Linked DNA regions of Caenorhabditis elegans. The protein of the gene in region 1 purifies or fractionates together with the protein of each later gene. This does not show direct contact. Each region holds a gene or a part of one and is shown in the gene's direction. Other genes may lie near its edges.

Region 1 (8,968 bases):
TGAAGCCGAAATGAAGGCTGAGCTGGGTCTTTAGATTGTGAGCTGGTTGGACGCTTTTTGCGTATTCTTTAATTTAATATTGAGATTTTTCTGGTGTTTTAGTTTTTCAAATTTTCAAATTTCGACACTTAAACCTGTTCTCCCAAATTTTATGTGATTCACCATTTCTCTCGATCATGTTTATTATTCCGTGAAATTACCACCTCCATGATGATATTTTCTTTCCAAATTTACCAATGATTAAAAATTTACTGATTTTATGTAATTTGTGCACAGATCTGGTTTTTGAATCTTTTTGATTTTCATTTCCACCCGATTTCTTCCCTTGCAGCTCCGATTTGCTTTAATTTCTTAATTTTCCGTCTTCGATTCCTTACTTTTGTCTATCAACCTTTCCAATTATGATAACTTCGCCCCGTTTCTATTTTGTTGCAATATTTTACACAGTTTGATTAATTATACAAGTTCATTCAAACAATTTTCGTGCACGAAACTGATTGTTTTTTTGTTTTGATCTTTTTCAATTTCCACTTGATTCTTGTCTCATCCCAATTGCTCCGGCTGGCTCAAAACTCTGACCTCTTCATGTATGTTTTTTTTTCAACGTTACCCGTAAATCATTTCATTTATGATATCTTCATCCCGTTCATACTTTGCATGTAATGTGTTGCTCAAAACTTACAGTGTTCTTGTACTAAACTGACATTTTATGTATTCTCTGATTTTCATTCCCATTCAATTTTTTCTCAACGTGGCTTCCCCGATTTTGTATTTGTGCATGTTTGATTTAAACTTATTGTTCTTCCATAAAAACATTGATTCGATATATTCAGATTTATGGATTTCAGGTAGGGGTGGCAAGAGTGCGACCTAGGTCGCTAGGTCGCTGTTTTCATTTAGGTCGCATCGCGACCTAGGTCGCATTGCGACCTGCGACCTAGCGACCTAGGTCGCTTTGCGACCTGCGACCTAGCGACCTAGGTCGCATTGCGACCTGCGACCTAGCGACCTAGGTCGCTTTGCGACCTGCGACCTAGCGACCTAGGTCGCTTTGCGACCTGCGAGCTAGCGACCTGGGTCGCATTGCGACCTGCGACCTAGCGACCTAGGTCGCTTTGCGACCTGCGACCTAGCGACCTAGGTCGCTTTGCGACCTGCGACCTAGCGACCTGGGTCGCTTTGCGACCTGAAGTACTGACATTTTGTGCCCTTTCGGTTTTGATTCACTTGAGTTGTTAAAATCTGTATAACTCGAAAACTACATAAGATTGCAGAATATGTATACTAACAAATTGCTACAAATCATTTATTTTACATTGTTTTCGATTTCTTATCCATAAGACACCTTGTCGAAAAAAGTTAGAACAGCCGACATAGGCCGGATTTGCTGCTGACTAAAATTGTTTCAACTTGAAAACTATGGTACTTATGGGTTTCAATGATTTGTAGCAATTTGTTAGTATACATATTCTGCAATCTTTAGTTTTCGAGTTATACGGATTTTAACAACTCAAGTGAAGCAAAACCGAAAGAGAACAAAATGTCGGTAATTCAGGTCGCAATGCGACCTAGGTCGCTAGGTCGCAGGTCGCTAGGTCGCAGGTCGCTAGGTCGCAGGTCGCAATGCGACCTAGGTCGCGACGCGACCTAACCCTCTAGGTCGCAGGTCGACCTAGGTCGACCTATAGCCACCCCTAATTTCAGGAATTTGAGAGTTTCAAGGTAAACAAGAAAAAACAAAAGGAACAATTGAAAAATCGACATCCAAAGTTTTTGAGACTTTTATTTTGAACAACTTCAGGAAGCTATCTAATTTTTTATTGCGAAATACAAATTTACCGTATTTTTCCAACTTGTCTCATAGCTCTATCGCTTCACTTTATCAGTTAGTACTTTTGTCATTTTTGGTTTTACCAAAGTTGCAGCATATGAAATACTTTTTTTTAAAAATGTTTCTCCACAGTTTTTCCGTTTTACCGGCTTACTTTTTTGGCAACAAATTGTTTTGTTTTCAAAACATTGGCTTTCGTCCTCGGATTTTTGTAAGACTACGTAATAACACTAATTCAAATTCTTTTATGTTTCCCAAAAAGCAGGCAACTTGATTTGAGAAAATTATGGTTATAAATTGCAATGTTGTGCTCTGACAAATGTATTCATATATTTATGCATTTATTTCCTTGGCCTTTTTTGTCAAATGAAAATATTTTCAAATCAAGATAAATCAAGAATAAAGGCTGAATGTACACACTGTTGATTTTCATACATATTTTCTACTATACTTTTTTTTAGATCCCCAAGTAACTATGACCTTGTGGTTAAGACTTTTTGAGAACTCTTTTTTTACGAACAATAACCATCTCACTAACGAGATATGTAATTTGATTTACCACCTTTCGGATACGCGCGTTCACCATTCCAGTAATGTAAACATATTCATTGATTGGTGCATCCGCTTTCGTTACTGTGAGCCCCTCTCCTCTCAGGCCTCCTTCCTTCAACTGTTGCTGCGCCCATGCCCATAACACTTTCTCTCTATCTCTCTCCCACTCTATCTCTAGCACACTAACTGATCAACATAAACCATGTCGCTCATCTTTATTTTGTCTTTTTTTTTTACTTTAATTGTGATTCAGGACAAATTAACAGACATTTCTCGCTACTAGTTTTTGTATGGAAGTAACTTATATCGGCTGTTCGAACGGAGCAAAGAAATTCATTCAAAACTGCATTTACTCGGTTTAAGTGACTCTGTTATTGCCGCTGGTATGATTCCACTTCTGTTTCTGTACGAAATCATCCCTTTAAAAATTAATTTATGTTTCTGTAAACATTCTGGCAAGAATAATTTTTTTCAGAAAACTTCATCGTCAATTTTTTTTGTTGGAAACAATCAACATGCCCAAGCGGTTAGTTTTCATAAATTTTTTATCCTAGGTGATTTCAACGTTGCAAACATTTTGAAAATTAAAAAAAACTAATGCAACGAATAATTGTTGCTTTTAATATGCTTTTGTTCTCAGACAGGAAACTCGGCTATTTTCTAAGCTATTGAATCTAGTTAAATAAGAAATATTTGAAACGGAGTTTTAACTGTATGTAAGTTGGCATAGTTTTAGTTTATAAAATTTAAAAGTTTAATAAGTCTTTACTACTCTAAAAAAGGGAATATTTGAAAATAAATTCAGAAATTGTTTTCCAGTAACTGATGGTTTGAGGAAACTCGTTTCTTTTTTAACATTCAAAATGGACCACGCCAGTATATGGGTTTTTATGTATGGGTTTTTGGGACCAACTCAATACACATATTATCTTAATTTCATTCAAAATAATTTTTCGGGGAGGGGCTCCATTTGTTTTTTAAATGTTTGGTGTCACAACCAACATTGAAAAAAAGTAGTTCCCATTTTACATTTTCAATTTTTTTAAAAGTATCCAACATATATACATCTTACATTTGAAATATAATTGTTTTGAATGCAACATTAAATAAAAGTTATTTTCAGAAATAAAAACGACGAACACGATGAGCTAGCAAAAAGGAGAAAATCAAACAACTGGCTCTACGAGCTTGATGAACTATTTGAGATCGAAAATATCCAGAAAAAGAATGCCGAATACATGTAAGTCCTTAGGTTAAAAAATGAAAAAAGCGCTTCATACTGATTTCTTTAAAAGTGGACTACGGCTTGTGGGGATATGATTAAAAGTTATTTAAATCGAGCTAAAATGATCAAAGATCACGAAAGCATTTTCAAAAAAAAATTGGTATTATTTCAAGTAAAAAAACGGAGAAATCTCAGTTTGCACTATTTTTTAGAAGTCGTCAATCAAAAAATGTGTTTTCTTCCAGTTTCACGTTCTAGGTAGTTTTGAAACATTCATACTTCAATATTGTCTGCGACACTGCTTTAAAGTTTTCGACACACTCAGTTTCCACTACTTGTCGGTTCGAAATAAAAAAGTTTCGAATTTGTTTTGAAAAGTTTTATTACAGTCATTAAATTATTTTGGCATTGTATTCGTTTGTAATACTGTTCATTTATATATTATAATTGCAATTTCAGGTTGTTCAAATCGTCACCCCAGAAAAAAAAGAACGTGGACTCCAAGTAAGTGTTTATTACATATATCAAATTTTTTCTTAACAGAAGTAATGTTTGAATTAATTAAACATATCAAAATTTTTAAAAGTTTAATTTTCTAAATTTTTAGAGTCGTGCTCAAACCAGACGTCAACCAACGTGATGTCTTTTTGGAAACTGGAAACAGGTGAGTAGAATTTTTTTTTTTTTTTTGGGTTAAAAAAATTTTTATTTGAATTATACTAAATCCTAAACCGAAACTAAATCCGTTTGTCATATTATCCAATTTATATATTTGCAGTTACAATTCGTTCAAATCGTCAGTCCAGAAGCAAAAGAACCCGGTCTCCAAGTAAGCGTTTATTACCGTATATTCTCTATACGTGCTGCGATGCAGCACTAAATTCCAGAAACTTTTTGAATGCAGCACTATTATAGACTTCAGTACTACTGGAGGCTGCAGCACTAATTTTCGCACCCCTTTGTCAATTGGAGATCGCTAGCTTTTAGTCACAAAATCTCATATTTTAAACACAAATTCATAAGGAGTGTGAATTTGTGTAGCAAAAATAAATGATACTTCAATTATGTTTATAAATTAAAAGTAATCAAAAACAAAATAAACAAAAACATTACCCAAAATTTCGAAACTGTTGAGATGACTCTCGCAATAAAAAAGGGGTGCAGCACTAACTTTCTGAAGGCCTGTTGGGGTAAACATTTAGAAAATTTAGAGCGCGTGAAATAATTTTATTATCAAGGTTTTATTCTAATTTTACAACATTTTAGGGTGATACTCCAACCAGACATCAGTCAACTCAGTGATTCTTCAGATGCGGAGGACAGGTAATACGAATCGGTTTTAAGTTTCACGTTTACAAATAGTACTGGAACGAATAAAAAATTTTATTTTCAAATACGACAACGAACATTTTTGATTTAAACATGAAAAGAACGAAAAAGACAAAAAAGTCAATTTTTAGCTGTAAATATGGAATCGAAATCTGGGAAAACGAGGAAAACTGCCAATTGCCAGTGTAAGTCGAAAAGTTTAATACAATTTTAAAAATTAAATTTCAATATTCTTTCAACAGAAACGCGAACTTTTGAATTTGGCTTCTTCGGGTTATGCTTAAATTTTTTAATTCTTCAAAATGAAAATAAAATTCAAAAAAATTTCACGATCTTATTCGAATTTAATTACTTTTTTTTTGAAATTAAGACAATTTTTCCCATAATTTCCTTAGAATTAGCCGTTTTCAAATTAGGACTAGCGGTAGCAAAGTGCTAATGAAGAATATACATACATACTTTTCCAGAGTCGAAATTAAGGAAAAATTTTTAAAATGTTAAAATTGAAGTTATCAAGCCTACTTAGAATGATTTTCTTCTGATAAATCACATTTTTGCCTATTATTGTTTTTAGTGTTAAAAAGGTTTTAATTGCAGCAAACAAACACTTCCTGAACAGCCGGAAGAGTTTCACATTGGCCGTATCAAAGCCAATCTGAAATTTCTCATGCAACAATTGAAATATCTCTCAGGTTGTGAAAATGGTAGGTTTGAATTTGATAAATACATTTTCTGTTTATAAATATTTCACACATTGCCCTGTTTTTAATAGTCACTTTAATTTTTACAGGGGAACAACACGCTAACGAAATTTTCAAAAGCCTGCCCGCCCAAGTGTGGGACCGAGCATCTCTCAAGCGAGCAGAAATTGCTGAGGATCTTTTGATCGCTGAAGAATTTATCGAGGCTCGGCGTGGTCAGCTTGAGCAGGATGATAAACTCAAAGTTTATTTATACAATGTTTTGGAAAATAAACTGAAGAAGGAAAATAATCCAGTCCTTCTCACTATTGTTCTTCATTTGGAGAATAAATTTCGGCAGTTGAATGCCGCGGATTTTGCCGCTCTAGAGGCTGCGATGAAGGCTGAACTGTGTTTCTAGATTCCAAATCGGTTTTGACATTCCCGATTATCCTATTTAAATTTTTAGAATTTAAAATTGTTGTTGTTTGTTGATACTATCCTCATTACTATGTAATATTGTTGATACTTTTAATCTCTTTTTTCCCGTCATTAAATCTCTTATTCTCTTGCTCAGATGTTCTCTTTTCCCGAAAAACATCCTTTCCCTTCTACCGTTTCCATTGTTTTCTTCTTCCCTGGCCGCAATTTCATTATTCAGATCTATTGTTTTCTGAACGGACCAATTTATCTCATACTTGATTCACGACCTCAATTGAACCATCGGAGTTTGTTCACGTTCCGTTTGATTAAAATCGTCCAACTCCAATTTCAAGCTCAAATATGGTTTCTTCCCTTTTCGGTCCGCTTAATTTCTTTCTCATTTTATTTGTTCAAGTTGGCTCCGAACGTTTCAATTTTCTTTCATTTTTTCTTACTGTTGTCCTTTAACATTTACAAGTATAATATCTTCACTCTTTTTCACATTTTTTATATTCTATCTCCCAAATCATAACTGTTGTTTTCTAATAAACAGAAACAACTATTACTTTATATATTCAGATTTATTGATTTCATAAACTTCAGATCTGCAGCTGCAAATTACAAACAAGACAAAAGGAGAAGGGACAGGACTACACGGCAACCTTGCTACTACTTTCGTATTCATTATTCCAGAGGGTTTCACAGTGTTATGGTTTGATATTGGGGGTTTTACTACACATGACTAATTTGAAAATGTCTCAAGAAAAAAGAAGCACGGATAAGGAGTAAAAATTGCAGTGGGAAAATTATGATTATGATTAAGACAAATGGATGGAACATTTAAAAGTAAAAAAATCAGGGATAGATCGTTATGTAAGCAGGGTTTTCAGGTTATGCCATTTGGTCAGGGAAATGGGAGTTTCAAGAACGGAAGACAGACAGCTTGTAAACTTTAAACAAAAATAGTGAATTGGCATGTTAAGAGAACTCCTAACGGTACTGGAGGCATTCTAGTTGTAATGAATGTTTGAATTCCAGTTTTGCATTACCACTAGAATGAGTTCGAAATATGGAAATTTGATTACTTTAGAAAAAAGTTTAGCACTTAGAAATTAATCTCAAGTTTCAAACACTACGGCTAATGAACGTAAAAATTTGTTCTAATGATATTTGGTTAAGAGATCAAAGATTTTATGGCAACTGGGTGGTATCATGGACGAGAAGATCTGGCTTCATGGACTCCTTGAAGCATTCAAAGTAATATTTGTTGATAATCACTACCAATCGTTCATTTGGTTTAGTGGTTGGCAAGCTTACCAAATCAGCTTCAAAGACGTTGATTGGAATCATTCCACTGAAAACGTCACTATTAGATGAAAAATGTACTGGAAAATTTACTTCTTGCGGACATATGCCATCTCGTCGTCATATGCGGTGTACTTCAAGCCACTGAGCACTTCCTTCATCTTCCAGTTTCCGTGCCGACATCCCACTGATGCGAAGTAGTTGTCCGGAATATCATCAGCAAGACGCGCCTAGAAATCAAATTACAGTTATTTCGTTTCACTTAAAAGAGGACTAATGGTTCTGGGAGTTTTTTTGTTGCTTGTGTCTAATTTGATCTAGAATCATTAACATTTTGAAAGAAGAAGATTTTCGTTCAATTAGTTGTATTTCTATACAAAATAAATGTTGATCGGATAGTTCTTTTTTCTATAAACACTAAAAAGCAAAGAACCGAAAAGCTTGGAAAACTGTGCTCCAGGCCGTAGGCAAAGAACGGATCGACTAAGTATCCTAAGTAAAAAAGTATTTGGTATTATTCATGAGAATTTTTTAATTAATTAAATCAATCATCTTTCTCAAAATTATAACACTGACAAGCGATATCATGAAGATTATAGAAAATAAGTTGCATTGCTGATTGTGTCTAACTAATCAAGTTGCTCTATGAATTCCCGCATTACCTTAATGAATCTATTGATTCCTTGATCAGTGATTATATTAGAAGTGATCTCAAAATTTGTGGCAGTGATGGAATTGAGCTGATCATCAGTAATCTTTGAAAGTCCGTCTAGTTTCAGGTTGGCAGCATTGCGCACTTGCTCTAGTTCCATGATATTTCCGTACTCGCCGGAGCACATTAGGGTGAACTTATTGAGCATTGGACGATGAAGCTTCACAATCTCAATGATGTTCGGGAAAGAATCCATGACAACAGTAAGGTTTTCGGCGGTAATTGTACTTACACACTTTGATAGATCCATCTCTCCCATCTAAAATGTTAGGTAACCTTGTCGAATTTAGCAATTATCTACCTGCTGCGAGCGATTGGTTACAAACAATGATTTGTAGACGCGAATATTCTGGCTGAGCATATTTCTCAGCTCCTCAATTGCCATATTCCGATTGCGAAACAGAGTGTTGTTGGAGATTCCCATGTGGACGGTGGAGTCACCATCGCTACGTATGAGAATGCTGTCGTCGCGCTCACTGAACGTCATTTTGTAGGCGTCGAGCCGAATTGTGTATTTCTGCAATATGAGGATGTGATTGTGTGACAAATCAGCAGTTTCTTACATTTTTATATGTAGTGTTTTTGAGCTCGTGACAGAATTGAAAGTATTTCGCCAGAACTTCCCTGAAAAAAAGATATATGATAAAAATATATGATGAATATTACTAAATGTGTCCAACGCATAGAACGACTATTTTTCCAGCCAAAATTTGGCGCCCAATACGTGACAATCATTTAAAAAAAAAATAGCAAAATTGGGTTAAAAACGCTCCCTAATCTAAAAAACAAAAATGTGCTATGTGAGGCTTAAGACTGCACGACAAGTATGAATGTTTGCTTTTTTCTTCTACATTTTCTTGACTAACCCGTCTGGTCCTTTCAGGAACTGATTCATTGCTTTTGAGGACGAC
Region 2 (6,820 bases), on another chromosome or scaffold:
AGGAATTGCAGAGCTTCGTAAGGATTATGTCAAGCCAAAAGTTCTAGAAAACCTGGAGAAGATCTGCCAGAATCTTACAAGTATTTTAAATTCTGCAACTTTGGAAGCTGACCAGTTATCCACAGCCCTAGAAGCTCTAACATCACTGTCTACTTCATTTAACGCGACCTCCGACATCTGGATGTTCCATGAATACACTTCAACTATCCAGGCAGTCGCTCCATTTTTGAAAACTGCTCGAGGCGTGGAGGAGCATTTGAAATACAAGGATAACTTGAATCTGACCAAAAAGGAAGAAGCCGCATTTAACAAGTATATATCCATTTACACCAATTCTGCAGTGCATATGTTTCTTGATCTAGGCCCACTTATTGGGAAGATCTTTGCCCCGGAAGGACATAACAAATCTCTCAGCCTCCCAGAATTTGATAAAGTGCTCAGTGACGCTTGGATCAGGAGTGTGGTAAATAGTGATTCTCTAGGAAAGGGGTTAAGTCGACTATCAGCTTTCCAAAGCTCTCTTCTTAGAGCACAGAGGCGGCTGAATTTCACCGACGTTGCTGGTGGCGTTCGAAGCATCATTGAGATGTTCAACTTCGACGTTTTTCCTGGAGATGATCACATGTCTGCTGCTGACCAAGAGTGTACTCCGTTAGAACTTAGATTTAGAGCTATTTCTGATCTCAAAATGTTTATTGATGAGATAGAAGTAGAATTCAATAACCTAACTATGCTGGCCATAAAATTGTCTTTTTTTCTCTCGGGGAACTCGGATGCTGGACAAGATTTTTTGAAAATCCACAGGGAACATGAAACGGTTGTGATTAAGAAACTTAACGAAACTGGACAGCTAAAAAGTTTAAAGGCACATTTATCAATGATAAATCAACAATTAGAGCTCATCAATACCTTTCCTATACATGACATTAATGTTTATGCCAGGTACGCTCAATTGGACATCGGTTGGATATATTCACAACACAAAGATGAATTAGAGAAGTACGCTGATTATTTCAACTGCCTTCAAAATAACGCCTACCTGAAATACAAAGCTTCTTTAAGCATTGCGACGAAAAGGATCAGCGATCATGTTTACAATTCAACGTATCAAAATTCATTCAACAACCTCCTAGGTGTCTTTAAAAACTCTACATCCGCTGTAGATGATATGTTCGTGATGAAGCGACATATGAAAGCGATGAAGAATTTTCACACAGTGGAAACAGATGCTCTGGGAGAGTTTAAGGATGTAGAATCTTACGCTGAGAATCTTCGCCTAGCAGTTCAAGGACTCGAAAAACTATCCGATTTGGTGGAGAAGAAGGATCAGTTGAAGTATGTCATAGATAATATTAATGTTCTCATAGAATCTGTATCAGTTATGGATGACGTTCCTCATTTGTACAATCTCCAGAAAATAGTACTGTTGAAATCAGAATTCCGGATGCTTCACCTATCATTGGAAGGCTTCGAAGAACAGGCTACAGACTCTATAGAGTCTATTGTTCTCGAGGATTACGAACAACTTTTTGTGCAAGCTCGGAGCATTCCTAGCATCGAGGGAGACTTCGAAGCAATAGGGAATTCTGTTGGAGAGCTGGCACGACTTGTAACAAATGTAACTGTCAAGGAGATTCTGAGAAATGTCAATGTATCACTGAACTCGTTGGATTTGGATTTCACTTCCTACCGTGTGCACTTTGCGAATGTGGCTTTGAGGGAGCTTGACGTATTCTTTGCGAATTTCTCGAAGAAGTTCGAAAAGCCGGAGGAGCTGGATGTTCGGGTGGAGCAGAAGGAAAGGAGAAAGGCAAAGAATCCAAATGAACGTGAGAGATTGGACAGGTTAGTGGCTTCTCACTCGGTGGACCTACAGAAATTGCACGTGGCCACGCGCAGTGTCAGAGTGTCTCATTTCGGCTTGATCTACGTTGATCTACAAAAAATGCGGGAGAAGAGACTGATTTCGCATTGTTAAGAACGTGCTGACGTCACATTTTTGTGGGCAAAAAATTACCGCATTTTTGTAGATCAAACCGTAATAGGGCAGCCTGGCACCAAATAGAACCTGTCTGACAGTACACAGAGTGAGTTGGGAGTTGGTGGGGATGATGTCAAGGTACTGTAGTAGTACTGTAGGGGTACTGTAGGTATACGGTAGGATTACTGTAGTTTGAGAAAATTTGAATTTTCAGCTTTTGAACAGGTATTGGGTTGGGAGTTGGTGGGGGATAATGTCAAGGTACTGTAGTGGTACTGTAGGGGTACTGTAAGTATACGGTAGGGTTACTGTAGTTTGGGAAAATTTGAATTTTAGCTTTTGAACAGATATTGGGTCGGGAGTTGATGTGGGATAATATCAAGGTATTGTGGTGGTACTGTAGGCGTACTGTAGGTATACGGTAGGATTACTGTAGTTTAGGAAAATTTGAATCTTTAGCTTTTGAAGAGATAGTGGGTTGGGAGTTGGTGGGGGATAATGTCAAGGTACTGTAGGTGCACTGTAGGGGTACTGTAGGTATACGGTAGGATTACTGTAGTTGGAGAAAATTTGAATTTTAGCTTTTGAACAGGTATTGGGTTGGGAGTTGGTGGGGATGATGTCAAGGTACTGTAGTAGTACTGTAGGGGTACTGTAGGTATACGGTAGGATTACTGTAGTTTGAGAAAATTTGAATTTTAGCTTTTGAACAGATATTGGGTCGGGAGTTGATGTGGGATAATATCAAGGTATTGTGGTGGTACTGTAGGCGTACTGTAGGTATACGGTAGGATTACTGTAGTTTAGGAAAGTTTGAATCTTTAGCTTTTGAAGAGATAGTGGGTTGGGAGTTGGTGGGGGATAATGTCAAGGTACTGTAGGTGCACTGTAGGGGTACTGGAGGTATGAGGCCATGTAGCTAAAGCTGCTCAGTTACTTGTAGGCTACTAGGCGTGCCTACCTATATTAAAATCCTCAAATCCCTTCTTTAATTCCAGAATTCCTTGGTGGTTCGTGTTCGGATGTGTGACAAGTATTCTATTTGGTGCTCTATTCGCTTTGGCCTAGTGAACTCGAATTTTTATTTCAATAAATTATTTTTCTACGAACTTTTCCTTAACATATGGATTTTTAATAAATTTGGAATTAATTTTTTTAATACAAAAAAACTATATAAATTTTGGCAGTTTCTTTCCAGCCACGTGGTGCCAGGTTGTCCAATCACGGTTTGATCTACAATAAATGCGGGAATTCTCGCCTAGAAAAGTGTGGCGTCAGCACGTTTTAACCGTTCGACTCTGCGTCTCGTTTCCCGCGTTTTTTGTAGATCACCGATTTTCGGATTGAATGAATTTTTTAAAATCTGTCCTGGACGACGGCGGTGCCGTCGTACAGAGCACTTAAATTTTTTTTTTCTGAATTTAAATTTATTTAAATCCTGATTTACACTTTCTCATCAAGAACAACGGAAAAATACGAGAAAAAAAAAATGAATTTTTCGGCAGAAATGTTTTCAAAATTCCATATCCTTCGGGTTTTTAAACAGTTTTGTCCATTTAAAATCGCTGGGAAAGTGGGAAAGTTTATCTAAAATTCTAGATATATTATCTAATCCTATATATTCCCCATTTCCCCTTAACCTCCACCCCAGCACTTACATTCCCACACGCACCTTCTCATCTTATCTACCAAGTTACACCCGACGCCTGTAAGGAGGCAAAAGAGCAGGGTGGCCGTGTAGGTTCACACTTATTTCTATTTTTTTATTCCCTTATTACCCCTTTTTTTATTGTCCCGAGAATTCAGAAAACCTAGGTTTAACCCATCAAAAACTATTAAAATTTGGCAATTTATTGTAAAAATTTACAATTTTGAAACTCCTCTAAATTGGTTCAACGTCTTTTAATTGAGCATTTTTCAGTAAAATAAACATTATTGTTCTTGTATCAAGCTTTTTTGTTTTCTGAATCTTTTTTTTTACTGTTCTAAAAATTTAAATTTCAGCTTCTCCACCGCCAAAAATGAGCACAATAAACTACAAAATGCACGTTTTGGCGAAAATCATAGCGTCGGAAAATGATGAGATGGTAAGTTAAATGAATTTAAATACCAGAAACCCCCTAAATTTCCAATTTATTCCAGATCTCTCCAGCAATCAAAGACTTAAATAACTATAAAGTATCTATGGAAACTCTCGAAAAACACAATATCCCTCTTCTCATAACCCAAAACTGCCCTTACAACCCATTTGCCATGAATCTCAAGTCAATGATTCTTCAGTGGAAAAATGAGCAACTTCAAGCGGAGCAGCCAAGACTTCTCACAAAACTCGCGGAGCATCTCGGATCAAATCGGCATTGCTCTCAACTTGTGCTCCAACTCCTCATAGGTCTTATGAATCTGGAAAACATGGAACTTGTTAGATCCTCCTGTCGAATTCTGAGCAAGTTAGAATTTAAGTTAGAGGAAATTGAGCGACTTGAAATTCTGGAAAGAGCAATGAAAGTTCAGGAGCAAGTAGAAGAAGCCAGTGAGTTGGTGATGAAGATTTTGGAGCAGCTTGAGCAAGAAGATTCCGGAATTTTTGTGGAAGATGAGGAGGATGAGGGGGGTGAAAATCCAATTGTGATGGAAATTTGCATGCTTTATCTGGCAGAATGTCTGAAAACGGAAGACAATTTAAAGGTAAGTAATACATATTAGTTGCTCCAGCCTGGCAGGCAGGCACATGCCTGCCTACAGCACGTGTTGTCAGACTGTCCCATTACGGTTTGATCTACAGAAAATGCGGGAATTTTTTCTCCCGCATTTTTCGCAGATCAAACCAAAATGGGACACTTTGACACCTGTACCAGGCAAGAAGGCATTATTCAACCTAGAATGGTCAGGCAAGCTTCCCAAGTGTGGTACGCCTATTCTGTGCCTACTCTAACTGGAAAACTTTTCAGATCACCAGCGCAATCACCTTGCTCGGCACCCTTGCTCCATCATTAGCTTTATACCGAAAATACAATATTCAATATTTGATCTACCAGCATGGCATCAAATGTGCTCTCGAGCTATGGGATATGCTCGAACACACGGAGCATCTGGAAATGGCTCAGGAGAAGCTGGAGGCCTTCAAAAAATTTATAACGGAAAGTTATAACCAGTCACCGGTGACAGGTACTACGGTAGCTGTGCTCACGGAGCATTTGAAGGAAGACGAGGAGTTTGTGGTGAGCAGAGAGTGAGCTCGAAGGCTTTTAAAATGAATATTTTCAGGTTCGGAGCACACTGGAGTTCTTCCTGAAAATGCCGATTTCGTTGGAGCAATTTGAGCAAAACCGGTCAGAATTTGTCATTCGCGAGCTTGAAGAATCTGATCTCGCAGTTCTAGTTATCAGGAAAATTGAAGAATTAAGAAACAGTAAAAAATTTGATTTCAAATAAAGCCGTTATTGATTTTTAATTTTTAAATTAACAGCAACTAGAAAGTAACAAAAAACAGGAAAATTAATTGACTTGTTTTTTGGCGATTTTACACGGATTTCTGGCTTCCCTCATAAATTGAAATGGAAGAGTTCTGGCCGAACTAGGCCATTTTGGTGGTATCTGGGGTAGATTTACGGTGCGTTGCGTGTCGCGTCGCGACTCGATTTTAGTGGTAAAACTAAATGCATTTGTCCGTGTGGAGTACACGACTTTCCCACGCGTTGTCCGGTGGGCGATTGTCAATAGAGCGCGGCGAAAAATTCAATGAGGAAGGCCAGAACCCCGTGATTTTGTTCCAAATCAGTCTGGATCTGTAGGTAATTGTCGTATTTTTAAATCAGAAAACAATATAATCAGATGATTTTATTATAAGAAAATCTTTCTAAATCTCATCCCAAAATCTCCAATGAATCCACGTACACTGCCACCTGAACCCACAACTTCACATAGTCTTCAGCAGGATTCGGAGTTCTATGTCTATAATCAGCAAACCATACTTGATTAATGTACATTTGTAGATCACTGATGCTATTGGTAATTGTCAAATTGAATTGTTGCCCAGCTGTAAATGGATATCCTCCACTACTCTCATACATTTCCCAAACTCCGTTTCGATGAGTTGACCGGACAACCTGGAAGAAGAAGCATGCCTGCATGCCTGCCGCCTAGGGCTGCGAGGGGCGCAATGCGATAAGGTAGTTGTTCGGCAGTGGCCGACACTTTCGGGGTTTCGCTGGCCACACGCCACCAGCCACCATGGATCTTTATTTAGTGCGGAACCCCGAAAGTGTCGGCCGCTGCCGAACAACTACCTATCGCACTGGGTGCTCGCCTACCGCCTACCGCCTACCTCATTGACTTCTGGTCTCGGGTTGAAATGAAACAGGACTTCTCCAATTGATGATTCTATATTGAGGAACCACCTCTGTTCTGATGGATAACCAATTAACACAATACTCTGTTTCAGTTTAAAATGCCCGTCGGGAAATATAATAGTGTACGGTAGGGCGTAGTTGCTCCCAGCCTGCGTAACTTTATCTGAAATTTGAGATTTTTGAGAATTTTTATATTGTGGGGAAGTCACCTTGATAAGAAAACTTCCATAGATCACCGGTAAAAGTGATGTTATAATTTGAATTGGTGAAAGTTTCCCACATGCTCCGCATTTTCGATGGAAAAGAGCCTGAAATACTTGTAGGGCAGGTAGTATCTGCCGTGGAATTGTTAATCTGAAAGTTTGCTTAATATTATGAGTTATACCCTTCAGGGTTAGCCATAACTGCATATTTTGCCATTCGGCAAATCGGAAAATTGCTGGTTTGCTAATTTGCCGGAAATTTTGATTCGACGATTTGCCGAACATCC

What was found. The genes of interacting proteins can lie anywhere in the genome.
Region 2: the proteins of T24D5.3 (region 1) and C27C7.7 fractionate together in Caenorhabditis elegans (co-fractionation; one large-scale study listed by BioGRID). This does not show direct contact.

The regions. Positions count from the first base shown.
Region 1 is NC_003284.9:12,577,176-12,586,143, forward strand, and holds T24D5.3 (RXT2_N domain-containing protein), read left to right. Parts: upstream 1-2,898; coding exon 2,899-2,909; intron 2,910-3,506; coding exon 3,507-3,623; intron 3,624-4,067; coding exon 4,068-4,112; intron 4,113-4,215; coding exon 4,216-4,272; intron 4,273-4,386; coding exon 4,387-4,437; intron 4,438-4,874; coding exon 4,875-4,931; intron 4,932-5,068; coding exon 5,069-5,122; intron 5,123-5,534; coding exon 5,535-5,641; intron 5,642-5,727; coding exon 5,728-6,038; 3' UTR 6,039-6,589; downstream 6,590-8,968. Other genes in the region: T24D5.1 (DUF1716 domain-containing protein), read left to right, coding at 1-34; T24D5.2 (DUF38 domain-containing protein), read right to left, coding at 7,232-7,394, 7,439-7,575, 8,008-8,316, 8,359-8,574, 8,621-8,681, 8,924-8,968.
Region 2 is NC_003279.8:11,418,188-11,425,007, forward strand, and holds C27C7.7 (RING-type E3 ubiquitin transferase), read left to right. Parts: upstream 1-3,992; 5' UTR 3,993-4,002; coding exon 4,003-4,068; intron 4,069-4,123; coding exon 4,124-4,666; intron 4,667-4,929; coding exon 4,930-5,199; intron 5,200-5,245; coding exon 5,246-5,413; downstream 5,414-6,820. Other genes in the region: Y53H1C.3 (uncharacterized protein), read left to right, coding at 1-1,845, 2,980-3,049; C27C7.5 (Galectin), read right to left, coding at 5,845-6,087, 6,306-6,493, 6,540-6,684.